4 linked regions of the Elephas maximus indicus genome follow. The protein of the gene in region 1 interacts with the protein of each later gene in a pairwise test. Links are inferred from orthologs where the notes say so. Each region holds a gene or a part of one and is shown in the gene's direction. Other genes may lie near its edges.

The links.
Region 2: the proteins of IPCEF1 (region 1) and CYTH4 interact in binary tests that used the Homo sapiens proteins (3 or more experiments, as listed by UniProt). The link is inferred for Elephas maximus indicus from reciprocal best matches to the Homo sapiens genes IPCEF1 and CYTH4.
Region 3: the proteins of IPCEF1 (region 1) and CYTH3 interact in binary tests that used the Homo sapiens proteins (3 or more experiments, as listed by UniProt). The link is inferred for Elephas maximus indicus from reciprocal best matches to the Homo sapiens genes IPCEF1 and CYTH3.
Region 4: the proteins of IPCEF1 (region 1) and CYTH1 interact in binary tests that used the Homo sapiens proteins (3 or more experiments, as listed by UniProt). The link is inferred for Elephas maximus indicus from reciprocal best matches to the Homo sapiens genes IPCEF1 and CYTH1.

What each region holds. Positions count from the first base shown.
Region 1 is NC_064819.1:226,120,252-226,127,514, reverse strand, and holds the start of IPCEF1 (interactor protein for cytohesin exchange factors 1), read left to right. Parts: upstream 1-4,246; 5' UTR 4,247-4,293; coding exon 4,294-4,312; coding exon of another isoform or gene 4,313-4,353; intron 4,354-7,263. UniProt on the Homo sapiens protein: Enhances the promotion of guanine-nucleotide exchange by PSCD2 on ARF6 in a concentration-dependent manner.
Region 2 is NC_064822.1:181,132,362-181,139,459, forward strand, and holds the start of CYTH4 (cytohesin-4), read left to right. Parts: upstream 1-4,080; 5' UTR 4,081-4,202; coding exon 4,203-4,221; intron 4,222-7,098. UniProt on the Homo sapiens protein: Promotes guanine-nucleotide exchange on ARF1 and ARF5. Promotes the activation of ARF factors through replacement of GDP with GTP.
Region 3 is NC_064830.1:101,037,321-101,044,891, forward strand, and holds the start of CYTH3 (cytohesin-3), read left to right. Parts: upstream 1-4,556; 5' UTR 4,557-4,620; coding exon 4,621-4,669; intron 4,670-7,571. UniProt on the Homo sapiens protein: Promotes guanine-nucleotide exchange on ARF1 and ARF6. Promotes the activation of ARF factors through replacement of GDP with GTP. Plays a role in the epithelial polarization.
Region 4 is NC_064837.1:68,622,864-68,630,721, reverse strand, and holds the start of CYTH1 (cytohesin-1), read left to right. Parts: upstream 1-4,857; 5' UTR 4,858-7,858. UniProt on the Homo sapiens protein: Promotes guanine-nucleotide exchange on ARF1, ARF5 and ARF6. Promotes the activation of ARF factors through replacement of GDP with GTP.

The sequences.
Region 1 (7,263 bases):
GAACAAGGGTGTGTGGGAGAGGTGCTAGATTCGTACAGACATTCAATTAATTTTCCTGTTTCCAGTTCCATCACTTACTTAGATTTTCTAGCTTCTCTCGGCTGTTTATGTCTCAGGGATTCTGAACCACAGATAGGCAGTTTCCTCCACCATGGTTGTCCCCTCCTTACTAATGGTGGGTTCCCTGCTCTCTTTCATCTGTTACTGCTCCTCCTTCTATTTTCCATCTTCCAGAAATCTGTTGTGATCTCTCTAATGCTCTTCCTTCTTCTTTTTTAATTTTTATGTGTATTTGTATTTTTTTTAAACTTTTCCTATCATTTTAAGGAGTCCCTGGGTGGTACAAAAGGTTAATGCATCCTGATGGTAATGGAAAGATCGGAGGTTCTAATGCATCCAGAGGTGCCTTGGAAAAAAGGCCTGGCGATTTAATTCCAAAAAATCAGCCACTGAAAACACTATACAGCACAGTTCTACTCTGCCATACATGGGATCCCCATGAATCAGAACTGACTTGGGGACAGCTGTTTTATTTTTATTTTAAAGGGGTCTTGGAAAGGAAGGAAGGGGGCAAAAAGGTTCTGTCATTAGCCCACCATCTTGAATTAGAAGTCCAATCTCCTTGAGGATTACTCCAATTTTATACATCAGGGGATCTATACTTAAAGAATTTAAGTGACTCCAACCCTGACCCCATAATTATGAATAACATGCCCTTTGATGATGGCATCTAAAAATCTAGTGAGAAACAAGCCTCTGCTATTGATGTTACTAAATACCTTAACACCATCTAACACTTTTTGGATGCCACATAAAGCAAGGAACTAGGGCAGCAACTCATGTGGGGAGAAGATGAGGTCGTAGTTCCCAGAAACAGAAGTTCACAGAAATGGGAAGCCATTGAGAGAATTTTATTGTGTTTCTGGTCAAAATGTACAGCATCTTCTTTTTCTTCTTCTACTCCTCTGCAAATTTAATTTAAATTATCTTCTTGTGGAAAGAATATAAAGACAATGAGAAGAAGTCAGAAACCAGAGACTGAAGCAGTTTTCAAACTATGATCTATTCCTCAAAGGTCATAGCTTTTTACCAGATACTAACTTTGTTTATATAGTATCTCTTCCTCTGACTCCCCAATGTTATTTATTTTTAACACAGTTTTTTTTTTTTTTTAATTGATATTTGGCTTGTGAGGTATGGGGTATGTTGGGACGTAGGCCATGTTTAATCTATAAATTAAAAATCTCCTGGCCATTAAAAGCCAAGACATAAAACATGCCATACAAAGGATATCCACTTTGCTTTTAGAAATGTTGTCCATAATCTTTTGCAAGTTACATCGACAATCAAGGGACACTGGTTTCTGTCTGGAATGCCAGATGTTACAAGCATATCATTAAATTAGGCAGATCTAAGGTCAATGGAATTCTTTACTTCTCTACCCTGAATGATCCTTTTCTCCTTGGGCCCAGTTATCTGCAGGCCAGGAAACAGACCATCTATTTGCCCCGGCCCAAGCTGTTTGTTACGGATCGAATTGTGTCCCCTAAAAATGTGTGTTAATTTGGCTAGTTCATGATTCCCAGTACTGTGTGATTATCCACCATTTTGTTATCTGATGTGATTTTCCTATGTGTTGTAAATTCTACCTCCATGATGTTAATGAGGTGGGAATAGCAGCAGTTATATTAATGAGGCAGGACTCAACCCACAAGATTAGGTTGTGTCTTAAATCAATCTTTTCTGAGGTATAAAAGAGAGAAGGAGCAAGAGAGACAGGTGGACCTCATATCACCAAGAAACAAGAGCCAGGAGAATAACCCTAGATCCAGGTTCCTGCACTGAGAAGCTCCTCAACCAGGGGAAGATTGATGACAATGACCATCCCCCACAGCCAAGAGAGAGGGAAAGCTTTCCCCTGGAGCTGGCACCCTGAATTTGGACTTCTAGCCTCTTGGACTGTGAGAGAATAAATTTCTGTTTGTTAAGGCCATCCATTTGTGGTATTTCTGTTACAACAGCACTAGATAACTAAGACACAGTTCATACTTAAAAGCAAGCTAGAAGAAGTGATCTGCCTTTATACCATGGGGGTTCCCTGGGAGCTACAGGCAATGAAGTCCTGCTGGCAGGGTAGGATTACCCTGTAAGCAAGGCATGCACAGGCCCAGTTGTGCCTTCTCACCAATCTGCAGTGTACAATTTCACCTATCTCCTACATGGCAAAGATGTGGTGAAACCCATGTGAAATTGCTCACCACAGGTTAGCAAGTAAATACAATCAACCCCATACATGCCAGTGTATACCTTGCTTGCTGGTCAATCCACCCCTGCCTGCTGGTCAGTTTTAGGAAACAGCAGATTCATTGAGTGTCTCAAGAAGGAATGCCAGGTGTCCAGAATTCTGATCCTAATGGGATGAATGCTTAAAGTGACTATGTAAAGCCACAGAGAAAGGTCTAAATCTGTGCTTGGCTTATAGCCTTCTCATGCTTGTGGTTAGGTGAACATTCATCCCTCGGAATCGATTCGATGGCACTGGGACTGGGTTATTGACATTGCATCCATTACCTTCCAGATTCTTGGTTAATTTTATAGTTTAGGTTTTTGTTTGTATGTTAACTGGTCTGTTTCTTGGAGATGGAATGATGGGGATCATTAGTTTCTAGGCCTGACCAGTGTGAGCTTGGTAATGACTAAGGTAGGGTGCCCCAAATATCATGCCTGGATGAAAGTCTCAGACGTTGTCTCAGAGGTATAACTATATAAATGATTTTACCCTTAGATGGGACTTCCCTTTTGCTCATATTTGGCTTGAGAGGTGCAACTTGAGTTTAGATAAAAGTTCTACACAGTATGGTGGGCAGACTTCTGAGGTAGTCCCAGTGACCCCACCTCCTGGTCTTCACATCTTGGATGATCCTTTCTCTTGAGTATAGACTGAGCCTAGTGAGTCACTTCCAACAAAGAGAATATGAAATAGAATATGGCAAAAGCAGAGATATCACTTTTGAGAATCAGTTACAAAAGTGACTTATGTCTTTCTCATACTCTCTCCCGTTTTCTTTCACGCTCTCATTTGTTCTCTCTAATGAAGCCAGTTGCCATGTTTTGAGCTGAGCTAAGGAGAGGTCCATATGGGGAAGAACTCAGGGTGGCTTTGGGCCAATAGCTAGCATTGGACTGAGAACCTCAGTCCAGTAGCCCGTGAGAAACTGAATTCTGCCAACAACCACGTGAGTAAGCGTGGGGGTGGATCCTTCCCCAGTCAGCCTTGAGATGACCGGAGCCCCAGCTGATACCTCATTGCAGCCTATAGAGACCCAGCTAGGCTGTGCCAGCTTCCTGACCCACAGAAACCAGGTGATAATAGAAGTTAGTTGTTTTAAACATCTAAATTTGGGGATAATCTGTTATGCAGAGATAGATAGCTAATCCACATGCTAAGGATACAGCTACTACATTTTGGAAGACTATGCTGGCCTGTTTCTAATGGTTTATTTCCTTTTCTTTGAAAGCAGAGAATAAATAAAGTGAGACAGTATGCTTTCCCCAAGAAAGTATAATGAAAAGATGCTGATGTTGAAAAGGAGAGGTTAAGATAGGCCTGAGGCAGGGTGAGGAACATATTGGAGTTAAGTTCAAATATTTTTAACTTTTAGCCAATTTCCTTTTCTAGCGTGTGGAAGAAAAGCTTTGATTTTAGAGAATCTGTTGTGAGTGCTGGGAAAGAACGGTAGACTAAGACTTATTTTTATCTTAAAATGCTTTTCACAAATTTATCAGTGCCCTCTTTATTGAGTAAACTGTTATGCAGAGTTGGGAGAGGTCAAGGAAGGGAAACTGTGAGGGAAATGGGAACCTGAATGGGGTTGATGGTTAACAAGTGGCATCTCAACCTACCATGATGAAAATGGCTCTACAAATGATCTCACCCTGCAAGCTTGGGAGAAAACATCTTTGCCTCCAAAACAGGAAAGTGAAGCCATGTCATAATGTTTTGTATATGTGTCCTGGGAAGGGATACACTCGGTAGTGTTTGGTGACAAATGGAGCCAGACAGCTAGGGTGTGCCTGTGTTGCGTGCATTGTGTCCTGCGTATTGGAATCAAGGAAGGGCTCAATAATGATAAGAAGGAAGAACAATGAAATTGAGGAAGTAAGATGACACTTCCTCTTCTTTCGCAAGAGCTTCATTCTCTGGTCAAATTCTAATGGTAGTCCTGTGTAGACTGAGCTGTGAAGCTGGAGCTGCTTAGAGAGCAGAACCCTCAGCCTCTGCCTCAGAGTATTATGAGTGCTGTGAACTCAGGTACAAAGAACCAGCTCTTGGATTTACTCTTTTTCTTGCATGTAAGTAAAGTCACGCCTTGGCTGATGTCTAAGAAGTAATTGCTTGGCCTATCAAGATGGTAAAGCAACGGATACCTTAGCACGAGCTTTAGAAGAGTGAGTTCTGAAATGTGGCTCTTGGGATACAGCATTCACCCAGCTCTTCATAAACCTGCTGCTGTCAAGTCTAGTGCTAAAGGCGCTCTTGAATTTTGTCAGGGCTTTGAGGGAGACTCATGTACTCACTCTGCTTTTCTCTGTTTCTTAAATGGACGTTATATTGATAGCTGCTTGGGCTGTAGACTATGGGTTTGATTTAGAAAAGCACAATTCAGCATCGGTTTGGGGCCTGAGGAGTTTATTTGGGGAAACACCCTGTTGTCACCCTCTTTTGAGAAAGTGTGTTCTTTGTGGCTATCCCCCCTTTGTATGTAGGTGGCAAGGAGCCCTGGTGGCACAGTGGTTAAAGCAATGGGCTGCTAACCTAAAGATCAGGTTTTGAACCCACCAGGTGCTGTGGGAGAAAGGGGTGGAAGTCTGCTTCTGTAAAGATTACAGCCTTGGAAACCCTATGGGGCAGTTCTACTCTGTCCTATAAGGTCACCGTGAGTCAGATTCACTTGGCTTTCTTTGCTTGGGTAAATATGAAAGAAATTTAATTATAGGAGTCAGAGTTACAACCCACAAGGGCATAAATAACTCCAGTAGTGGACTTCATTAGTCCCTAGGGGCTTGTGTGTTCTCAGTACTGTTGTAGGCAATGTGCTATTGTACAATACCCTAAAAAGGCAGAGTCTGAATCCTCCAGAGCTGTTTATTTTACATAGAAAACAGAAACAGAAAGAACACGCATTTATTTCTGCTCACATCATGCAAGTGAGGAGGAAGAGGACTTAAGTTTGTGTACTTGTTGACGTTCTCCTTCTTTAATTTGCCTTTTCGTATAGCATCTTTTTTAGAGAGGGTCCATGTATAAATTATTTCAGGCAAGCTGCATTAAGCAAATACACATCATCGGAATATGGAAATAGGAAGTTCTTTCCTGCGGTAGTTGGCTGTGGCAATAAGAGATAAAACATTACTTCACGACTATTGCCTGAGACTTTCCTTTTGACTCGTGTATCCTTCTTGAACAGCTCACTTCTGCTTTCCCTCCAGCTTGGAGGCCAGGCGGGGTGAGCTGGTAACCAGAGCCCAGGCTGACAATTTGCAGGTAGAGTTAATACAGCTAGTGGTGTATGCATGTGTGAAGAAAATCCTAAACTGTAAGCCTTTTGCTTTTGAAGAAAACCCTGTAAGGAATTACTTTACCCCTAGCACTGAGAACAGTGCCTGCCACATCATATGCTCTCAATAACTATTTGTTGAATGAATGAATGGGGTCTTCATAAAACGAATACATTTGGGTAAACGAAAGCCAAACCTATTGCTGTAGAGTTGATTCCGACTCATAGCGATCCTAGCGGACAGAGTGGAACTGCCACATATGATTTCCAAGGAGCACCTGGTGGAATCAAACTGCTGACCTTTTGGTTAGCAGCTGTGGCTGTTAACCACTACGCCACCAGGGCTTCCAAAAAACTAAACCCATTGCCGTCCAATGGATTCCAACTCATAGTGACCCTGTAGTGGTGCAGTAGCTGTCACTTTATTTCTGTTACCTATGCATACAGGGGAATGCAGGTTGGAAGAGGTCAGAGTGAAGTAGGACAGGAAGGGAATATGAAGGTGTTTTGTAGGAAATAGTTGATAAGACGCCCTACCTCAACAAAGTGAAAAGGGTGGCAATGTGATGGTGGTCGGATGGTGAAGGTGGTAGTTGTGGTAGAGGTGAAGGTAAAGAATGTGAAGGTGGAGGTGGTGGTGGTGATGGCTGTGATGGTGGTAGAGTTTGAGGGGTGCTGGAAGTGGTCGAGGTGGTGGCTGTGATGGTGGTAGAGGTGGAAGTCGTGGTGGTAGAGATGGAGCTGGTGGTAGAGATGGAGATGGAGGTGGTATTGGAAGTGGTGGTGGTAGGGGTGGTGTAGATGATGGTACAGGTTGTGGTAGTGTTGAAAGTGGTGGTTGAAGTGGTGGACTTGGTGTTGGTTGTGGTGGTGGAGAGGACAGTGTGATATAGCAGGAAGAAAACGTATTTTTGGGGTCAGACACATCTGTTCAAAGTCTGTGTCTGCCAGTTAGCAGCTATATGACCTCTAAACCTGTATAACAGCCCTGTTGGCTCAGTGGCTAAGAAATATGGCTGCTAACAAAAAGGTTGGCAGTTTGAATCCACCAGCCACGCCTCGGAAACTCTTTGGGACAGTTCTACTCTGTTCTACAGGGTCACTATGAGTCGGAATCAACTTGATGGCAATGGGTTTGATTTCAATGGGTTTTATACTTTACCAAGCATGATATTCTTCTCCAGGGACTGGTTCCTCCTGATAACATGTCCAAAGTACATAAGACGAAGTCTTACCATCCTCGCTTCTAAAGAGCATTCTGGCTGTACTTCTTCCAAGACAGATTTGTTAGTTCTCCTGGCAGTCCATGGTATATATTCACTATTCTTCACCAACATCATAATTCAAAGGCATCAATTCTTCTTCAGTTTTCCTAATTCATTGTCCAGCTTTCGCATGCATATGAGGCGATTGAAAATATCATGGCTTGAGTCAGGCACACCTTAGTTCTCAAAGTGAAATCTTTGCTTTTTAACACTTTAAAGAAGTCTTTTGTAGCAGATTTGCCCAATGCAATATGTCATTTGCTGCTTCCATGGGGATTGTCTGTAGATGCAAGTAAAATGGAATTCTTGACAACTTCAATCTTTTTTCTGTTTATCATGATGTTGCTTATTGGTCCAGTTCTGAGGATTTTTGTTTTCTTTATGTTAAGGTATAAGCCACACTGAAGGCTATATAGTCTTTGATCTTCATCAGTAAGTGC
Region 2 (7,098 bases), on another chromosome or scaffold:
CAGACCACCGAGTTTCTTTTGAAAAGTCTGGAGTGATGCTTGCAGAAGTTCAGAGCAGGTCTCTGAAGCCAAAAACACAGGGCTCACGCTGATCTTTGCCCTTTCCTGGTTCAGTGACCTTATGGGAAATGATTTCATCTCTCTGAACTCAATTTTTACACCTACAGACTGGGGGTTGTAATCACACACCTTGGCGAGTTGTGAAAAGGATTAAAAGAGATGATGTATTAGCACTTGGCACTGTGCCTGGCCCGTAGTGAGTACTCCATAAGTCGTAGTGGTGGTTGTTTGGGACCTCCCACACTCCCTGTTTGGAGACCACCATGCGTTGTCTTATCATCAACTGTTGGCCTTCTGCCTAGTACACATGTGGGAAGCAGAGCCCCATTTAGGGTAGAAGGTCTGACCTCAGGCCAGAAGGAGCTTTGGGGAAATTCTCATATGGCTGAGAACACCCTCTTTGCCTTTCCCATCTTCATCTTTCTTCCTACCTGGAATTCAGATACCATGGCTGGAGACCAGGCAGCCACTTTGGATCATGAAGATACCTTGAGGATAGAAGCAGAAAGTTGGAAGGAGCCTGGATCCCTGTGGCCATGGTGCTACCAGGGCAGCCCTGTATTGCCTACCTCAAGCTTCTTTCTCATAAGAGATAAATAAATCTCTAATCTACATAAACCATTGTCATTTAGGTTACCTGTTTCATCTAACCAAACCTAATCTTAACTGTCCGCATTTTGCAGATGACGAGAAAAACGAGGCTCAGAGGGTGAAGGTCACACAACTTAGCAAGGGCTAAGTCAGTATTCTAATCGAGGTCTCTGTAGTTCCTGTCCTGTTATTTTAACAAACCTTTTGCCAGCCACAACGAGAGGGTCCCTCCCTCCTGGGCTATCTGCATACAAGCTGTCCAACATGACCAGGGCTGAAGGGGCAGAGGAAGAGCGAGCACAATCACAGAAGGCTTCACAGGGGAGATTATGTCTGAGTTGAGTCTTAGAGAATAAGATAGTAATAATAACTGAACCACTCTACCAACCCTTCAGGCAAGACACAAGTCCAAGACGCCAAACTGTGGCCCTGGGTGAGACACATCCATTGGGTCCAGCCACAGCATTAGGGCAGATGTCAGAGGTCCCCAAGACCACCCTCAATTTGGGTGATTTCCTAGGAGGACACACAGATCTCAGCTTTTGATCATACTTAACAATGAGGACTTATTACAGTGAAAGGACACAAAGCAAAGTCAGCAAAGGGAAAAGGCACCTGGTACGAAGTCCAGAGGAAACCAGGAACAAGCTTCCAAGAGTCCTCTTACAGTGGGATCACACAGAGTGTACTGTGTGATTCCAACAAATCGCGCTGATACGTGTGAAATGTTATCTACCAGGGAAGCTCATTACAGACTCAGCACCCAAGGTTTTTATTGGGAACAAGCCTCGTAGCCACCCTTTCCCTAGCAAGTACCAAAATTCCAGACTCCCAGAAGGAAAACAAAGGTTCCGCATAAACTGTAGATTTGCACAAACACTTTAGGCACAGGGAATGATGGGAACCATCCCGAAATCCAAGTTCCCAGACCCAGCCAAGGGCCAACCTTGCAAGCCAGCTTTTCTCTGGATAGCAACCTCAGGCCTGCTACATTAACTCTTTCTGCGCAGAGCGTTACGCCTTTCTCCCCATTTCTCTTTTTGAAGTGCCCCAGGAAATAGTTTGTGGTGCCTCAGACCCAGATTTATTGAGAAAACTCTAGTTTACCATAGAGATAATTTCAACAAATTTCCTAGAAAATAACCTTGAGTTGTGTGAGCACCAGTGGGGGAGGAGGGAGTCCTACGAACACTAGACTGGGAGTCAGCTGGGCTAGCTTTTCATCCTGAATGGGCCACTAACTCAAGTTCCAACTTGGAGAAGCACATCCCTGAAATGAGCCTCAGTTTCCTCTTCAGTGAAATAAAGGGGTTGGATTCCATCTGCATCAGTGAGCTTTTGCTGCATAGTAAACCGCCCTGAAAATTGGTAGCTTAAAACAACAAGAAGTTATTATTTCTCACAGATCTGTGGGATAGCAATTTGGGCTGAGCTAAGTTGTTCTTCTAGTCTTGCCTAGGCTCACTCATGAGGTTGGGGCTGGCTAGCAGCCAGGCCAGCCAGACATTTCTCCTCATGGTCACCATCCTCCAGCAGGCGACCCGGGGCTTGTTCTCATAGCATCTGGGCAGCGGTCCAAGAGCAAGAGTGGGAGCTACCAGGCCTCTTAAGGCCTAGCCTTGAAAGTCACGTAATGTAACTTCTGCTAAATTCTATTGGCCAAAACAAGACACAGGCTGACCCAGATTCAAGAAATAGACTCCACCTCTTGGTGGGAGGAGCAGCAACGTCACTGTGCAAAGGGGTGTGGATACAGGGAGGGGTGGATGCTGTGGCCAGTTTTTTTGCATCTACCATTCTACCTCCCCTGTGTTTCATTCACTCATTCCACACTTCTACACCCTCTATGTCCCTGGGTGGCACAAATGGTTTGCACTTGACTAACAAGGAACCCTGGAGACATAGTGGCTAAAGTGCTCGACTGCTAACGGAAACGCCAGCAGTTAGAAACCCAGTGACTCGGAGGGAGAAAGATGTGGCAGTCTGCTTCTGTAGAGATTTACAGCCTCAGAAACCCTACTGGGTCACTATGAGTCAGAATCGACTCGACAGCCGTGGGTTTGCTAACCTAAAGGTCAATGGTTTGAACCCACCCAGAGGCACCGTGGAAAAAAGCCCTGGTGATCTGCTTCCATAAAGATTACAGCTAAGAAAACCCTATGAAACAGTTCTACCCTAAAACACTTGGGGTCACCATAAGTCGAAATCAACTTGACTGTAACTAGTTTGACGTTCTCAGCATTTTACCAGACACTGAGACACAAAAGCAAACTTGTCCTCATGGGGCCTCCACGCAAGTGAAAGAAAGTTGAGGAAACCAACATGTGCCATGAAGTTATGGCCAATGAGCATTTATTTTACAGATATTTCTTTACATCACACCCTTCTCCGTAAAGGACTTGAGTCAAACTGCCAGAAAAGGCACAAGCATAAAGCTAAGAATTTTAACTAAAGAAGAAAATTAAGACCAAAAGTGAAAAGAACGTAGTGTTTACTAAATACCTGCTATGTTGCAAACGTCTCACACACATTGTCTCGCTCTATCTTTTCCATATTTCTGATGTACATATTATAGTTCTCCCTTTTATAGGTGAGTAAACTGAGGCTTGCTGTGGATAATGACATGCTCAATTCACACAGGTCCTAAGTGGCAGAGCTGGGAGTCTAACGACTGAGTCTGGCCCCAAAGTCCACGTGCTATTGTCATATAACTGTTATGTATACCCAAAACCCATTGCTGTCAAGTCAATTACAACTCATAACGCCCCTACAGGACGGAATAGAACTGCCCCACAGGGTTTCCAAGGAGTAGCTGGTGAATTCGAGCCACCAACCTTTTGGTTAGCAGCTGAGCTCTTAACCACTGAGCCACCAGGGATCCTTTGAGTATACTATTGTGGTAAATGAGCTTCAGATTTGGCTGTGAGCTTCCCAGCAGCCTGGGGGAAAAAGGAAACTGAACCTAATACCCAACTGGTCACTAGACAGAAAACAGCCAGACATTTCTGTGAGGGGAAGCAAAGTCCTTCCTAGCCTTGAAGTTTGTTTGTTTGTTTTTCAAGTAAGCCTTGATAAAAGCGGGCCTGTGGGATGGACTATACAGGGCCTGGCTTGGACTGTCCAAGCTGGGTGAGGCTTTGTGGTTTCTATGCTGAATGAATGCCTATTGTCCCTGGAGAAGGCTGTGTCCTGTAGTGACTATCTGCCTCTGCGTGTGTGTGTGTGTGTGTGTGTGTGTGTGGTATGCTTCTCTGTGTCTCACTCTTTCTCTTTTTATCTGTCTCTTTCCCCTCTCTCCCTCCCTCGCTCACACACAAAATGCAGAGTCCCTGCTACTCGAAGCTCTGCTGGTTTTTAGGAAGTGCTGCTGTGTCTGGAGCCTGCGCAGCAGACCTGGGGGCCAGGACTTCCTCTCCACACAGGGCTGGGCTTGGGGGGAGGGAAAGGGCCTGCCGCAGCTGAGGTGACGCATCACTGCCAGGCAAACCCAAGCAGCAGCTGGGTCAGCAGGCAGCAGGAGCACAGGCCACCGTTCCCCTGGGGGTTTCAGAATGGACCTGTGCCACCCAGGTAAGCACCCAGAAGGGCAGGGGTCCAGGAGAGAGTGTGAGAGTGTGGGTATATGCAAGAGCTTCACCAAGCAGGACCAGGAATGGACAGGGGGCGTCGGGGGCCAGGTGGGAAAGAAGCTGTCCCCTGTTCCAGGAGGGAAGCTGGAGTGGGCGCACCCACAGAGACCTTCGCCTGACACCCATTGTATTGCGAATGTTGGTGCTGAAGGCTCTGCAGAAGGGGCTTGTACTAGTGGGCGTAGGCCCAGAGAGGGTCAGAAGCTTCCCAAAGGCACACAGGGCAGCAGAGAAGGAATTAGAACCCAGCACCCAGGGTTCCTGCTGCTGTCCTGCCACCTCTCCAGGCATCAATGGGTGAGCTCTCTGCCAGTGGGCAGGAGGGGAACAGGGTCCCCAAGAGCCCTGCTGGGTGCTCCCCCTTCAGCACGACTGCACCTGTGCAGGAGACGGTATAGCGGCACTGTGCTCCAGAGGACCGACCAGCTCTGACAGAGCAGGCCTGGCTCAGAGGGAGGCTTGTCCCCACCAGTGGGAGCACTGAGGGGGAGGGGGCACCTTGAGATCAGGAGGTGGGCTGTATTTCCCTCTCGGACCAGAGTCTGCTTCAGCTGCTCCCCAACTCCAGACACCTGGAGCCCCCCAAATCTGCTCCCCTAACTTGAAAGATGGGTCCCTTGATCAGCTTCCAGCCACCTCCCTAGTATCTGCTTTCTGAGCCCAGGTAGGGAGCTCTTAGCCTGTGGGGAGTGTCATGGGGGCTGGGGGGGGGGGCGGTGGGCACCTTGGCCACATCCTGCCAGCCAGGCCACAGCACACACCCAAGAGCGGCCATGCACGCCACTGGGGAGCCAGGAGCTCTGGACGGGACCCATCTGCTAGGTGGCAATCTTGGGTCTATCCCATCCTGTGAGGCCTGTCAGTTCTCCTAACTCATACCAGCTTCATGACCTCTATAAAGGGACTGGTGTCTCATTTAATGGAAAAGGAAACTAGGCTCAGTGGGTAAAGTGACCCGCTCACTACTATGTGGGAACAAGGCTCTGGATCCCCCAAGTCCCTGGAGGACTTTTCCAGACTTTGGACCATTCTGACCTGCTAACTTGAGACCCTGAGGGCACACTCCAGGCTCCCAGGCCTGGCTACAAATTCCCTCCTCCACTCTCTTGCTGTGTGGTGGATCCTGTGCAAGACAGCCAGTGTCTCTGGGCCTCAGTTTCCTCTTCTGTAGAATGGGATAACAGTGCCTGCCTCACAGGGTCCTAGGAGGATTAAATGTATAAATAGATATAAGACACTTGGGGTACCCAACGACATGCAACATATGTTTGTTCAGCTCCAGTTAGGTGTGAAGCTGTGTGGTAGGCAAGGGGGTTCGGCTGTGAACAGGCAGGCACCGTCTCTACCCTCATGGGCTGACACTCCAGTGGGAAGGCAGACAGCAAGTCTATTTCGTGTAATCTGTCACTTGGTGACAAGCAGGATGAAGACCAGTGAAGAGAAGGGAGAGGGTGGGCCTCAGGTGGAAACGCCATTTGAGCAGAGACCTGAAGGAGAGGATGGGGTGGATGCGTGGGTTTCTGGGGAAACACATTCCCAGCAGGGACCAGCCAGTTCAAAGCCCAGAGGTGGGACTGAGAATGGTAACTTGTGATGATGTTGGTGGCGACGATGTCTGTGTGGTGGTGCAAGGGCCCTGGGGCCCCAGTTTGGCTCTTGGTGTGTAGGGGGTGGCCTTTGGGGAGACTGATGGCAGAATCAGTGGGGAGGGGCATGCTGGGAATGAGAAGCAAAGGACCATGCCCACAACCAGGACGCCGAGTCTGGGGCAGAAGAGGAAAGGCTACTGTGAAGTTGGAAGAGGAGAGAATGGGTCAGGCTTGTGTCTCTGTGAGGCAGAAGGCAAGGTGGAAAGAGGGGCGAAGTCCCTGCACCCTGAGTCTCAGAATGTTCTAGCATTGCCTAGCATTCCAGGACATAAGGGCTGGGAGGAGCTATCCTGTTTCTCAGGCCCAGATGATGTCAACTTTGCTTAGCAACAGCACACTCTCTTTAAACAAAACCTAACAGAGCAGTTGTGACCCCACCCACTGGGCCCCCCACCACCCCCCACCAGAGGTGGAACCTGTGGGTTCCAGGGAACACAGTTAGAGAACCAGTGATCCACTCCATTCCATGGATCCCATTTACAGATGGGATGAAGGAAGCTGAGACAGGGAGGCAGTCTTGGCCAAGGCAGAGGTCAGACCACACCCCCATCTCCTGACCCTCTGTCCAGCGCTCTCTCCTCCACCCCTGCTTCTCCTGTGGCTCTTGGTGGCAGGTGGCTCACACACCGTCCAGGCTCAGTGGATACATCTTAGATGCAGCTTAGAAGGCAAGAGGAAACTCAGTGAAGGGCAGTGCCTTGCCCAAGGCTACCCAGCAAAGGAGTGGCAGAGCTGACATGACGGTGAGATGGGGCAGTGAGGCCATCCTGCCGAGAAATAACACCCCCACTGCCTCTCTGGCCACCATTAGTGCTCCGTTCTTTTGGGTCTTTGCATCCTGAGGTCCTTAGGGACAGCGTCGGATGTCTCCATGACACCGATGAGGAAACAGGCTCACAGAGGTGACCTGGAGAAGAGGCCTGACTGGTCAATGTCACAGCGCCAGTAAATGACAGGGCAGGGACAAGAACATGATGAGCTGGGAGAAGAAGGGCCCCCCAAGTTAGCTTGGGCTTAGAACGGGGGGCGGGGGGGAGGGAGAGAAGGAAGGAGCAGCCAGAAGGTGAGTCACTACCTTGCTTCAGGCTGGCCCTAGGAAGGCAATCTGTTGGGAGCTTTGGGGTCTCCACTAATGAAGTCAACTCAGGCAATCTGTTGGGAGCTTTGGG
Region 3 (7,571 bases), on another chromosome or scaffold:
ACAGTAGCTGAGAGGTCCCTCTGACAGAAGAAGGGAGCTCATACCTTGGGGGTGGGGGAGGAGTGAGCTGAACCTTGCCCTCCAAAATCTTGAAGTTCAGCTCAAATCAGAATTTTCTGTGTCGGTTTCTTTTCTTTTTTCTTGTGGTAATATATATATAACAAAAAATTTGCCATTTTAACCATTTTTAAGTGTACCATTCAGTGACATGAATTACACTCACTGTATTGTGCAACCATCACCACCACCTACTTCCAAAATGTTTTCTTCTCTCCAAGCAGAAACCCTGTAGCCATTAAGTAATAACTCCTCATTCTCTCCTCTCCCCATCTCCTGGTGGCTCTAAGCTACCTTCTGTCTTTATGCATTTACCTGTTCTAGATATTTCATGTAAGTGGGGTCATACACTATTTGTCCTTTTGTGTCTGCCTTCTTCTACTCAGCATCGTGTTCTCAAGATTCATCCACGTCGTGGTGTGTATCAGAACTTTATTTCTCTTTATGGCTGAGGAATATTCCATTGTGTGAGTAGACCACATTTCACTTGTCCATTTGTCTGTTAATGGACACTTGGGTTGTCTCCGCCTTTTGGTTATTGCGAATAGTGCTGCAGTGAACATTGGTGTTTCTGTATCTGTTTCTTAAGCCAACTTTTTACTTTTTACAGAGATGACAGCTGGAAGAACTCTTACTGGAAATGTGACAAAACCAAAGACAGTCATTAAGCATCTTCATTGATGTTGTCATCCAGAGGTCCAGAAACATTTGTTTTTGCTTAGAAATAGTTATTTTGGGGACTTGTCAAAAATCCCACGTTTGGAACTGAATAATTCAAACTCTGACAGAATCACCTATAGGTGACACTTCAAGGGCCCTAAAGAATTAGGAAGACATTTCAATGTGTTTATAACTGATAGTATCTTTGAGTTCAAATCTCCACAAAGCACAGTGTCAAGTTCAAAGAATGTTCTCATATTTCCCAGTAGCTATGCAGTCATCTTCAAGATGACAAAGCAGATAGGAAGGAGATCAGGAAGCTACATCTGTGGGCTGGGACTTGAACGTGTATCTCCTGACTTCCAGGCCCCTTTTCTGTTACACTTTTGTCACATAAGCTGCCAAACATCTTATCTACACCCAGAGGGGTCCATAGTGCCTTTCAAAGAACAGGAATGCTGGCTGCTTAATTCCTGAGATTATTTGGAGACTCAGCTCTTTGTCTGGAATCATCCCACAACCTTGAACAAAAAGGTGAATGCTGTCCGTTTTGATGGACCACAGCAGAGGGATCCTTTGATTCCATGGATAATTTGCAAACATAAAACAGTTGCCGGGAAATTATATTAGATATGAATGATCTCCTCCATTATGACATTTGCTTTTCTTTAACACAATTTAGATGGAAAATGAACGGAAAGGTCTGGGGAAGGGGGGCACATTCACTGCTGCAGGAGGACTTGCTGGAAGCAGGATATGGAGTGAGAAAGATATATAGAGAAGATTTGTAGCAGAGGCAACCTGAGGTCTTCTGACTGGGAGACCTGTGCTTAGGGTCCTGGCTATGCCCTGGGAAATGGAATTCAGCGCTCTTTCTCTCATTTCTGTGTGTCTGCATCCTAAATCCAGGGCAGCTGGCAGCTTTTCAAGGGAGATTAGAGCTAAACTAAGGAGCCCTGGTGGTGCAATGGTTAAGTGCTTGGCTGTTAACTGAAAGGTTGGTGGTTTGAACCCACCCAATGTCTTGCAGGAGAAACACCTGGCAATCTGCTTCGGTAAAAATTATAGCCTAAAAGGAGAATGAAGAACACCAAAAACGTAAGGAAAATATGAGCCCAAGAGACAGAAAGGGCCACATAAACCAGAGACTCCATCAACCTGAGACCGGAAGAACTAGGTGGTACCCGACTACTGCCAATGACCGGACTGACAGGGAACACATAAGAGAGCTCCTCATGGAGCAGGAGGAAAGTGGGGTACAGAATTCAAATTCTAGTAAAAAGACCAGACTTGGTGGTCTGACTGAGACTAGAGGGACCCCAGAAGACGTGGCCCCCGGACTCTCTGTTAGCCCAGAACTAAAACCATTCCTGAAGCCAACTCTTCAGACAAAGATTAGACTGGACTATGAAACATAAAATGATGCCGGTAGAGAGTGTGCTTCTTGGCTCAAGTAGATACATTAGACTAAATGGGCAGCTCCTGTCTAGAGGCGAGATGAGAAGGCAGAACGGGATAGGAGCTGGTTGAATGGACATGGGAAATACAGGGTAGAGAGGAGGAGTGTGCTGTCACATTACAGGGAGAACAACTAGGGTCACATAACAACATGTGTATAAGTTTTTGTATGAGAAACTGACTTGAATTGTAAACTTTCACTTAGACCACACACACACACACAATTATAGCCTAAAAAACCATGTGGGGCAGTTCTACTCTGTCACATGGGGTCACTATGATTGGGAAATCAACTGGATGGCTCCTGACAACAACAACAAAGCTAAACTTTCAAGGGCACCAGAGGCCAGGCTGGCCCACCTCTTCCCATGTGAAAGGGGAGGGAACCCAGGTGTGCCGGATTAGGATTTGGGTACTACCTTATGGGAACACGCGTTTATAAAGCCTTATACCCTGTTCATTTCCAAGTGCAGTCTTATTGCCAGGAAAGGAGAAGAGGCTGCATTGTATATCAGAAAGCTTGACAGGCTGGAATAATTCCGAAGGCCTGTGGCGACCTTACATTTCTTCTTCTTCTTTTTTAATTTTCTTGTGCTTTACATGAAAGTTTACAATTTATACACAAACTGTTTTGTGACATTGGTTACTATCCCCAAAATGTGTCAGCATTCTCCCCCTTTCCCTTTACACCCTGGGTTCCCTGTGTCCAGTTTTCCTGACCCTTCCTGCCTTCTCAGCTTTGCTTTTGGGCAAGTGTTGCCCATTTGGTCTCACATACTTGATTGAACTAAGAAGCACATTCCTCACGTGTGTTATTGTTGTTTTATAGGCCTGTCTAATCTTTGGCTGAAAGGTGGACTTCAGGAGTGGCTTCACTTCTGAGTTAGCAGGCTGTTCAGGGGCCATAGTCTTGCGGGTTCCTTCAGTCTCTGTCAGACCAGCAAGTCTGGTCTTTTTTTGTGACTGAAGAATTTTGTTCTACCCTCTGTTGTGATCTCTGTCAGAGTGGTTGGTGGTGGTAGCCAGGCACCATCTAGCTCTTCTGGGCTCAGGCTGGTGGAGGCTGTGGTTCACGTGGTCCATTACTCCCTTGGACTAATCTTTTCCTTGTGTCTTTTTTTTTTTTTTCTTTCTTTCATTCTTCTTTGCTTTGTTAGAGATGGGACTAATTGATGTATCTTAAATGGCCGCTTGCAAGCTTTTAAAACCCCAGACACTACTCACCAAAGTAGGATGTAGAATGTTTTCTTTATGAGGTATGTTATACCAACTGATCTAGATGTCCCCCAAGACCATGTTCCCCAGCCCTCAGCCCCAGTAACTCAGGCCCTCAAGGTGTTTGGAAGTGTCTAGGAAGCTTCTATGAGTTTGATTTGGCCAAGTTGTGCTGACTTCCCCTATATCGTGTGCTGTCTTTCCCTTCTCCAAAGTTAACACTTATCTGCTATCTGGTCAGAAACCCTGGTGGTGTAGTGGTTAAGAGCTACAGCTGCTAACCAAACGGTTGGCAGTTAGAATTCACCAGCTGCTCCTTGGAAACCCTACGGGGCAGTTCTGCTCTGTCCTATAGGGCTGCTTTGAGTCGGAAATGACTTGAGGTCAATGGGTTTGGTTTTTTGGTTTTTACTATCTAGTCAGCGATTTCTCCTCCCCACCCCTTCCCTTCCTTGTAACCATCAAAGTTTTTTTTTTTTTCCAGCGTGTAAATAATAGTGGTCTCATACAATATTTGTCCTTTTGAGATTGACTTATTTTGCTCAGTGTAATGCCCTCTAGATTCATCTATGTTGTGAAATGTTTCACGAATTCATCATTGTTCTTTTTTGTTGCATAGTCTTTCACTGTGTGTATGTACCATAATTTGTTTATCCATTCATCTGTTGATGGGGACCTTACATTTTGGGGGGCCCCAAGGGGAGGGTCTGACTTTCCAGGACGTTCATTTCTGGACCTTTTTTCCTGAGTGCAAGTGCGAGGAGGACGCCTCGCCTGAGTTTTGTAGAAGGAAGCACTGCAGTGTCCCAGACCCCACATCTGTTCTAAGGCTGCTGGGACCCCATTTCACCCTCGCCTGGCCGCAGCCTCCGGATCGGAGGAGACGCCCAGGAGCGTGGGCCGCTGTCAGGACACCAGCCACACTCCGGCAGGGGGCGGGGCCGAGCACCCTGGGGCTCCGCCCACCGAGGGGCGGGGCCTATGCGTCACATGACGGCGGCGGGCTGCGGGCGGCTGAGGAGGCTCCACCGGCCGAAGAGGCCCCGCCCGGCTGAGGGGGCCCCGCCCGCCGAGGAGGCCCCGCCCGCCGAGGAGGCCCGGGCCGCGAGCCGGCCGCCGCCGCGCTGCTGGAGCCGAGCCGGCAGCCCGCGCGCTCCGCACCGGCGGCGCCCCCGCCCGCGGCCCCTCGCCCGGCGGCCCCGGCGTGCCGGCAGCGGGAGTCGCCTCAAGATGGATGAAGGCGGCGGCGGCGGCGGCGGCGGCGGCGGCGAGGGCGGAGGTGAGTGTCAGAGGTGTGGCGGCTCGGCCGGCGGCCTGGGCGGAGGTCCCGGACGGGCCCGACGAGGGCGGCCGGGGCCGGGGCGGGCGGTCGGGGTCGGCCTGAGGAGACCGGGCGGGGCCGGCCGCGGTCGCCGCCGAGCCCGAGCGAGGGTCCCGGGCGAGGCGGGGGTGCCCGGGCGGCTCGAGCCGAGGCCGCGGGGTCGCTGCTCCGGGCGGGAGTCCCCGCGGGCGACCTTCCCCGTATCCCGTCGCCAAGGGCGTCCACGCCCTCCGGGGCCCCGCCGCCGCTGGGGCTGACCGGCGCCGGTTCCTTTCTCGGGCGGTGGGAAGGGGCTGAGCCGTGGGGAATGGGGCTCCGCCAGGGTCAGAGGAGGGAGCGAGGGTTCAAACTCAGAATGAACACTTTTCTCGGCTCTGGGTCCGACGTGGTCTCTGGAATTGCTTGTGGGGCGGAGGACAGCGAGATTACAGGTGTGGATAAGCGAAAAATAAAAAAGTGGCAGAGCCGAGGGCTTGAGTAAGGAGCTACAGCCAGCGGCAGGAGTTCGACACCGGCGACCCCTTTCCTGTCGCCTCTGGGGAAGGACAGCTTTCCCAGGTGGGTCGTGTCCGTGGCAGGGTGGCCCAGGTCGTCTGTGTTTGACGTCCTGTCACCTCGAGCAGCATTTGTTGTGAACTATTTAGTGGAATACGGTACACCGTTGTGTGATGGGATGTATTGCTGCGAATTGCTTTTTTAAAACCAAATAATGTGTCTGCCTGGATTGGGACATTGGTTTGGAAAAGTACAGGATTAATACGCATATTTCACAGGGACACCCGAGGTCGAGGTTCTCTATACTTTTGTTCAGGATACCCTTTTTGCTGACAGACCAAATGATCAGAAGAACCCCAAGTCATAGGCGAGCGTTTTTTGAAAAGTCCTAATTACAGGCTGCTTAGCAGTTGCCTGTAAGAATCAGCAGGATTGAATGCTTCAGGATGAAGTTAATCAAGGTGCCTTCTAGAATTTAAGTGCTGCACCGAGGGAAACGTTTTTTTTTTTTTTTCCTGAAAGCAGCAATGTGGCTGTGATGGTGGGAAGTTGGCACAAGTCACAGCGTTTGAGAGTTCAGTGCGCGGAGTTAAAGCTAGCGATAGCACTATGGCACCAAGTGGGTGTGTTGTTTATGAAAGAAAGTGCTGTGCAAAGAAGGAGCCCAGTTGCAAACCCTCCTACAGCCAGGCTGTCGGTCTGAAGACACAGGATTCTAAGTAATGGATTCCCTGTGGATACAGCGCTTCCTGCCCATCACTCCTTGGAGGACACAACATAGCAGGCATAGCCGTTTTTCTTTTTTAGAAAATAAAGACAATTGTAACATTCAAACTTTTTTTTTTAATGAAATTTTATTGCATTTCAGTGAAGGTTTACATGGCAGTTGAGGTTCCCATTCAACGGTTTCTACCCAAATTGTTCAGTGACATTGGTTACATTCTTTATAACGCATGAACATTCTCCTTATGTCTATCTGGTTCCGTTAACATTTAACTGTTTGATGTTAGAGTTAAGGTAGCTCGACAGACATGGAAAGGTGCGTCGGACTCCGTGAGCAAAGAGATGTAGAAGACTTGAAGGTAAAAGCAGATATAAAGAGAAAAAAAGGGAGCCAGAGTCCTGGAGCAATTTATAGGTCTTGAGTCCTATAACAAAGCCTGACATTAAATATCCAGAGTGTTAGAGCTTTCTTTGGGCTATTAATATATCAAGGAGCCCTGGTGGTGCAGCGGGTAGGTGCTCAGCTGCTAATCGAAAGGTTGGCGATTTGAACCCACCAGCGGCTCCTTAGGAGAAGGACATGACAGCCTGCTTCCTTAAAGACTAAAAAAAAAAAATTTTTTTTTTTTTTTTTATTACAGCCTAGGAAAACCCTATGAGGCAGCTCTGCTCTGTCCTATAGGGTTGCTGTGAGTTGGAATTGACTTGACGGCAATGGGTTTGGTTTTTTGGGAGGAATATATCACAAGGAAACAATCTTGAAATTAAAAAAAAAAAAAACCTTATTCATGAAGATGTACATCACACTATTTATAATAGTAAAAAATTAGAAGCAGCGGTGCCCAACAGTAGGGGAATGTGAGGTAAATTAGGGGAAGCTTATTGGAGGAAAATAATTTACAGGCATTAAAAATAGTGTTGTTTTATAAGTAATGGTCTAAACAATGTTAAAACTAGTGTTACCATGGATGGTTTATTTTCTTAGTTTATGTATTTTCCAGATTTCTGGATTAAGCATTAATTACTTTCAAATTTTGAGGGAGAAAGACAAAAAATGGACTCGCTAGTGGGAAAGGTATATGATTGCTTCTAATATATAATTTAATTCACCTCACTGGAACATTCAACAATGAACAGATATTTATTGATTTCCTACTAAACTAGCAGCCTGCTAGGTGCTGGAAAACAACTTCTGACCTTTATTGATTTGGTTTATTAAAATCTTGTATTGTGAAAGACCCTTAGCAATATTTATTTTTGAATCAAGTGAAAATCTTTTTCAAAAGTTTCAAAATAAGAATCATTGTATATAGATTATTGTATAAATTCTATGTGCTTACATTTAACTCTTGATCGTTAGGGCCTTAGAACCTGACAGACCTCTTACAGTTCTTTACACTTATTAACGCCATTTAGATTTTTAAAAAATGCTTTGTTTTAAAATTCACGTTTTAAGATAAAGTTCAGCCCTTTAGCAGATATTTCAGTCAGTTGCCAAACAATTGTAAAATATAACCTCTTTGGTATATTTTTAGAACAAAGTACGCAAAGTTTCAGCTTGCTTAAAAGGGTGAGTAATCTATTTAAATGGTAGTTATAGCAGAGGCCAAAGATAATTTGTAAGGTCTTATTTGTTAATGTG
Region 4 (7,858 bases), on another chromosome or scaffold:
CTCTGACTAATTTCACTCAGCATAATGCCTCCCAGGTTGCTCCATGTTATGAAATGTTTCACAGATTCATTGCTGTTCTTTATCGATGTGTAGTATTCCATTGTGAATAGATCATAATTTATCCATTCGTCTGTTGATGGGCACCTAGGTTGCTTCCATCTTTTTGCTATTGTAAACAGTGCTGCAATAAACATGGGTGTGCATATATCTGTTCGTGTAAAGGCTCTTATTTCTCTAGGATATATTCCGAGGAGTGGGATTTCTGGGTTGTGTGGTAGTTCTATTTCTAACTTTTTAAGGAAACGCCAGATTTCCAAAGTGGTTGTACCATTTTACATTCCCACCAGCAGCGTATAAGAGTTCTAGTCTCTTCACAGCCTCTTCAACATTTATTGTTTTGTGTTTTTTGGATTAATGCCAGCCTTGTTGGAGTGAGATGGAATCTCATCCTAGTTTTAATTTGCGTTTCTCTAATGGCTAATGATCGAGAGCATTTTCTCATGTATCTGTTCGCCGCCTGAATATCTTCTTTAGTGAAGTGTGTGTTCATATCCTTTGCCCAATTTTTAATTGGGTTGTTTGTCTTTCAATTTTATTTGGGTTGTTTATCTTTTTGTGGTTGAGTTTTATGAGCATAGGTGTTTGATTTTTAGGAGCTCCCAGTTATCTGGTTTCTCTTCGTCATTTTTAGTAATGTTTTGTATTCTGTTTATGCCTTATATTAGGGCTCCTAGCTTTGTCCCTATTTTTTTCTTCCATGATCTTTATCGTTTTAGTCTTTATGTTTAGGTCTTTGATCCACTTGGAGTTAGTTTTTGTGCATGGTGTGAGGTATGGGTCCTGTTTCATTTTTTTGCAAATGGATATCCAGTTATGCCAGCACCATTTGTTAAAAAGACTATCTTTTCCCTAATTAACTGACACTGGGCCTCTGTCAAATATCAGCTGTTCATATGTAGATGGATTTATATCTGGGCTCTCAATTCTGTTCCATTGGTCTATGTGCCTGTTGTTGTACCAGTACCAGGCTGTTTTGACTGCTGTGGCTGTATAATATGGTCTAAAATCAGGTAGAGTGAGGCCTCCCACTTTCTTCTTCTTTTTCAGTAATGCTTTACTTATCCAGGGCTTCTTTCCCTTCCATATGAAGTTGGTGATTTGTTTCTGCATCACATTAAAAAATGTCATTGGAATTTGAATCGGAAGTGCATTGTATATATAGATGGCTTCTGGTAGAATAGACATTTTTACTATGTTAACTCTTCCTATCCATGAGCAAGGTATGTTTTTCTGCTTATGTAGGTCCCTTTTAGTTTCTTGCAGTAGTACTTCGTAGTTTTCTTTGTATAGGTCTTTTACATCTTTGGTAAGATTTATTCCTAAGTATTTTATCTTCTTGGGGGCTACTGTGAATGGTATTGATTTGGTGATTTCCTCTTCGATGTTCTTTTTGTTGATATAGAGGAATCCAAGTGATTTTTGTATGTTTATCTTGTAACCTGAAACTCTGCCAAACTCTTCTATTAGTTTCAGTAGTTTTCTGGAGGATTCCTTAGGGTTTCCTGGGTATAAGATCATGTCATCTGCAAATAGAGATAATTTTACTTCTTCCTTGCCAGTCCGGATGCCCTTTATTTCTTTGTCTAGCCTAATTGCTCTGGCTAGGACCTCTAGCACAATGTTGAATAAGAGCGGTGATAAAGGGCATCCTTGTCTGGTTCCCGTTCTCAAGGAAAATGCTTTCAGGCTCTCTCCATTTAGAATGATGTTGGCTGTTGGCTTTGTATAAAAGAATGATGTTGGCTGTTGGCTTTGTATAAAAAAAAAATTTTTGTATAGATGCCCTTTATTATGCTGAGGAATTTTCCTTCAATTTCTATTTTGCTGAGAGTTTTTATCATGAATGGGTGTTGGACTTTGTCAAATGCCTTTTCTGCATCAATTGATAAGATGATGTGGTTTTTGTTGTTTGTTTTATTTATATGGTAGATTACATTAATAGTATTTCTAATATTGAACCAACCTTGCGAACTCTGCAGTGAAGCTGTCCGGGCCAGGGCTTTTTTTTGTTGGGAGTTTTTTGATTACCTTTTCAATCTCTTTTTTTTTTATGGATCTATTTAGTTGTTCCACTTCCGATTGTGTTAGTTTAGGTAGGTAGTGTTTTTCTAGGAATACATCGATTTCTTCTAGGTTTGCAAATTTGTTAGAGTACAGTTTTTCATAATAATCTGATATGATTCCTTTAATTTCAGTTGAGTCTGTTGTGATATGGCCCATTTCATCTCTTATCTGGGTTATTTGTTTCCTTTCCTGTATTTCTTTAGTCAGTCTGGCCAATGGTTTATCAATTTTGTTAACTTTTTTTGAAGAACCAGCTTTTGGCTTTGTTAATTCTTTCAATTGTTTTTCTGTTCTCTAAATCATTTAGTTCAGCTCTAATTTTTATTATTCGTTTTCTTCTGGTGCCTGATGGCTTCTTTTGTTGCTTGCTTTCTATTTGTTCAAGTTGTAGGGACAGTTCTCTGATTTTGGCTCTTTCTTCTTTTTGTATGTGTGCATTTATCAATATAAATTGACCTCTGAGCACTGCTTTTGCTGTGTCCCAGAGGTTTTGATAGGAAGTATTTTCACTCTCGTTGCATTCTACGAATTTCTTTAGTCCCTTCTTAGTGTCTTCTATAACCCAGTCTTTTTTGAGCAGGGTATTGTTCAGTTCCCAAGTATTTGATTTCTTTTCCCTGATTTTTCTGTTACTGATTTCCACTTTTATGGCCTTGTGGTCTGAGAAGATGCTTTGTAATATTTCGATGTTTTGCATTCTGCAACGGTTTGTTTTATGACCTAATATGTGATCTATTCTAGAGAGTGTTCCATGTGCACTAGAAAAAAAAAAGTATACTTTGCAGCTGTTGGGTGGAGCGTTCTGTATAAGTCTACAAGGTCAAGTTGGTTGATTGTAGCAATTAGGTCTTCCATGTCTCTATTGAGCTTCTTACTGGAAGTCCTATCCTTTTCCGAAAGTGGTATGTTGAAGTCTCCTACTATAATTGTGGCGTTGTCTATCTCACTTTTCAGTTCTGTTAAAGTTTGTTTTATGTATCTTGCAGCCCTGTCATTGGGTGTGTAGATATTTAATATGGTTATATCTTCCTGGTCAATTGTCCCTTTAATCATTATGTAGTGTCCTTCTTTATCCTTTGTGGTGGATTTAACTTTAAAGTCTATTTTGTCAGAAATTAATATTGCCACTCCTGCTCTTTTTTGATTGTTGTTTGCTTGATATATTTTTTTCCATCCTTTGAGTTTTAGTTCGTTTGTGTCTCTAAGTCTAAGGTATGTCTCTTGTAGGCAGCATATAGACGGATCGTGTTTCTTTATCCAGTCTGAGACTCTCTGTCTCTTTATTCGTTCATTTAGTCCATTTACATTCAGCGTAATTATAGATAAGTATGAGTTTAGTGCTGTCATTTTGATGCCTTTTTGTGTGTGTTGTTGACAATTTCATTTTTCCACTTTTTTGCGCTGAGATGTTTTTCTTTGTAAGTTGTGTATTCACCATTTTCATAGTAGTCGAATTTATGTTTGCTGAGTTGTTATGTTTTTCTTGGTTTTTATTTTGATTTATGGAATTGTTAGACCTCTTTGTGGTTACCTTAATATTTACCCCTATTTTTCTAAATAAAAACCTAACTTGTATCGTCCTATATCACCTTGTTTTCCTCTCCATATGGCAGCTCTATGCCTCCTGTATTTAGTCCCTCTTTTTGATTATTGTGATCTTTTACATAGTGACTTCAATGATTCCCTGTTTTGAGCATTTTTTTCTTTTTAAAATAAATCTTAATTTGTTGTTGTGATTTCCCTGTTTGAGTTGATATCAGGATGTTCTGTTTTGTGACCTTGTCTTGTGCTGGTATCTGATATTATTGATTTTCTGACCAAACAATTTCCTTTAGTAATTCTTGTGGCTTTGGTTTGGTTTTTGTAAATTCTCTAAAGCTTGCGTTTATTTGTAAATGTTTTAATTTCACCTTCATATTTGAGAGAGAGTTTTGCTGGATATATGATCCTTGGCTGGCAGTTTTTCTCCTTCAGTGCTCTATATATGTCATCCCATTGCCTTCTTGACTGCATGGTTTCTGCTGAGTAGTCTGAAGTTATTCTTATTGATTCTTCTTTGTAGGAGACTTTTCTTTTATCCCTGGCTGCTTTTAAAAGTTTCTCTTTATCTTTGGTTTTGGCAAGTTTGATGATAATATGTCTTGGTTATTTTCTTTTTGGATCAGTCTTATATGGGGTTCGATGAGCATCTTGGATAGATATCCTTTCGTCTTTCATGATGTCAGGGAAGTTTTCTGCCAACAGATCTTCAACTATCCTCTCTGTATTTTCTGTTACCCCTCCCTGTCCTGGAACTCCAATCACACGCAAGTTATTCTTCTTGATAGAGTCCCACATGATTCTGAGGGTTTCTTCATTTTTTTAAATCTTTTATCTGATTTTTCTTCAACTATATTGGTGTCAATTGCCTTATCCTCCAGCTCCCCCACTCTGCATTCCAATTGCTCGATTCTGCTCCTCCGACCTCCTACTGAGTTGTCTAATTCTGTAATTTTACTGTTAATCTTTTGGATTCCTGAATGCTGTCTCTCTATAGATTCTAGCAGCTTATTAGTTTTTCTACCGTGTTCTTGAATAATCTTTTTGATTTCTTCAACTGCTTTATCAGTGTGTTCCTTGGCTTTTTCTGTAGATTTCCTTATTTCATTTCTGAGGTCATCCCTGATGTCTTGAAGCATTCTTTATATTAGTTTTGTATATTCTACATCTGGCAATTCCAGGATTATATCTTCATTTGGGAAAGATTTTGATTCTTTAATTTGGGGAGTTGTAGAAGCAGTCATGGTCTTTTTCTTAATGTGGTTTGATATCAACTGCTGTCTCTGAGCTATCTCTAAGATATTGTAATGATTTATATTTGCTCACTGAGTCTTATCTTATTTTGTTTTCTTTCATTATATGCAGATGGGCTACTAGATTGCACTGTCTTGATTGTTGTAGCCTTTGAATTGCTTATGTTCTATTACCGGCTGGTTTGGGCTGTTACCAGATATGTAAGCCTAAGAGTCCATTCACTATTCTTGAATAGAATCAGCTTAGGTGTTTTGATTTTGGGTCACCAAGTGTGTGGTGTAGACTGTCACCTATTAACTTAGAGGAGTAGTGGTGATAGTTGTGTGCACCAGATTCTAGTAGCAACAGGGGGTCACACTCCAGGGGGGCTGGTTGCTGACAGCCTTCCCCCACATGCCAGTGCGGTAGGTGTGTCTCTATTCCTAAAGCACTTTGGTGGGTGGGCTCTGCAGCTGTACCTTAGGCACCCAATGCATGTACCTCTAAAGATTGGTAGGTGTCAGTATCCTCAGACCCCTTTGGCAGGTGGCTAGGTGGTTTGGGTGGAGCTTCAGCCCTCAGTTCCCTGTTGTGGATCAGTGAGGGCTCTGTTTAATAGGTAGAGATATCAGACCTGGAAAACTTGTCTTTCCAGTGATCCACTAAAACAATTACAGTCAGATCTCTATTAGAATTGCCTTTGCATTATAATAGCCACCTTGTTCCCTGTAGGGATGAAAGCCAAAGACTGTGGATCTCATATGCTTGGCTGGAACTGGTTCTGTATTTTTATTCCAGTTTAGGGAAGTTACGGAAGGATTTTTCATCCCTGGGTTTTTAATAGCTGCTTCTCTCAGGCCAGGAGAATGGGTTAGGAAAAGACAAAAAAAAAAAAAAAAAAAACAAACAAACAAACCACAGAGCACTTCACTCCCTGGCCCAGGAAATTCCAATGTTAATGAAGCCACCTGGGGCAGAGAGGGTAGGGATCAGATAGATAGGAGAGAGTAGCACCCAGCAATATAGACAAAGTTACTTATCTTGCTTGGCGATGACTGTTTTATCTGAGATTCCCTGAGGGACGGGGGGCGTGTAGCCTATGTGTGCTGGCAGGGTCGAGATTGCCCCCGAGGGTCAGACTGGCTTCCTGTGCTTGTGCTGTCTCAGAAGCTGTGGTCAGCTCCTCCGCTCCCAGTCCAAAGCCCAGCGCCTCCCGGTGACTTCTCCTCTTGTCAGCCACGTTGTTGCGCTGCTGGCATGCGCTGGCTGGGCTTCCCCCGAGGTCACTTCAGGGGGCTAGGGCTGCGTCCCGTGTTTGCACCACCTCAGGAAGCCATGCTTAGCTCCCCTGTGCCCGGTCCAAAGCCTGGCACCAAGGGTTTCTGACTGGGATGCTGGCTGTAGGCTCTGAAAACAGTCGCTGCTTCCCTGTGGTTGCTCGTTCTCTTGTTAGCTGCGTCAGTGTGCAGCCTGCTTGTGCTGGCTGAGTCTCTACTGAGGTTACCCCAAGGAGCTAGGGGTTAGGGCTGTGTCCCGTGCCTGCCCCGCCTCAGCAAGCTGCAGTCAGCCCCACCACTCGGCACCAGGGAACTGCGAGGGCTCAAGGCTGTGGAGTGGGACGCAGGTTCCAGAGGTGGTCGCTGCTTCAGGGCACAGCTTTTCACTCCCCTGTCACTCAGGTCAACTCTTTAGATCTGTGTTTGATGGTCAGGGTTCGTAGATTGTCATGTATGTGATCGATTCACTTGTTTTTCTGAGTCTTTGTTGCAGCAGGGATCCGAGGTAGCTTTTACCTAGTAAGCCACCTTGGCCCCGCCCTCCTGCTTAACCTTTTTGCAAAACCTTTAAAAGTGTTTTGCAGTATTTTCAGGTTTCTGCCTGCCGAGGATTGACAAGCCTCTGTCACCGTGTGTTCCAACCTACGGATGCCCTTCCAGGGGTTTTTAAGACATTTACATGATTGTATTGCAACACTTACGAGTAATTTACAGAAGAACAAATGCCCACGCCAAATAAACACAACGAAAGAGCTTTGACATCACTGGTAATCAGCAGCATAAATGTTAAGAGACTATCAAGTCGGCAAATGTTTTAAATGATAATACTCACTGGGGATGAAGTCGTGGCGAGGCTAGTGCTTTCAGACACAGCTGGAAAATGGAAACATTTGAGAAACTGATTTCATAGCATGTATGAGTCTTAAAATAGGTTATATCTTTTGACCTATAAGTCTGCTTCTGGAATTTAGCCTAAGGAACCAATCAGAGAAGAGCACAAAGGTACAGTGTACTGCAGCATTACATAGGATATAATGGAAACGACGTTACATGTGATTATATGTCATCACATAGGATATAATGGAAACAACAGGTACGTGTCCAGCGGTAGAGCTGGCTAAGTACAGTATAGATCATCAACCGTTACAAACACGCATCCCTCTGATTCCAGTCCGGCACTTTGGGATTCTTTCTAGCCTGCGCCCTTTTCGTGTTCCTACATCCCTTTTCCAGTAGTGACAAACCTGGTTCCTCCTGTCTTCTGACTTCGGGATTGTGCAGATACTTTCCTTCTGCTCTTCCAGTTCCACCCCCTTCTCCAGTCACTCTCTCGAGGTAGACTCAGCCTGTGTACAGTGATCGGCAGGCTCCCTGGCCCTCTGCTCCTGGTGGATGGAGGAGAGTGAGGACAAAGCCATTTCTCCTGGGCTCCTCCCTGCCAGGCAGCAGAGGGTCAGCTGGATCCTTCTACGAGGTGGGCCCCTCCGTTCAGCAGTGCTTGTGCCTTCAGCCCCTCCAGCCTAGGACTGGTACTTTATCATTCCTTGGTGGCGTCCCTAAGCGCAGCCCTCGCTTTTGTAGATAATCCCATTCTTCAACTCCTTCCGAATTCCCACTTTGTGACTGATATTAAATATCAGGCTTTAAAAACAAGCAAAAAAACCCTTTCCCTAGGGCATTTCATA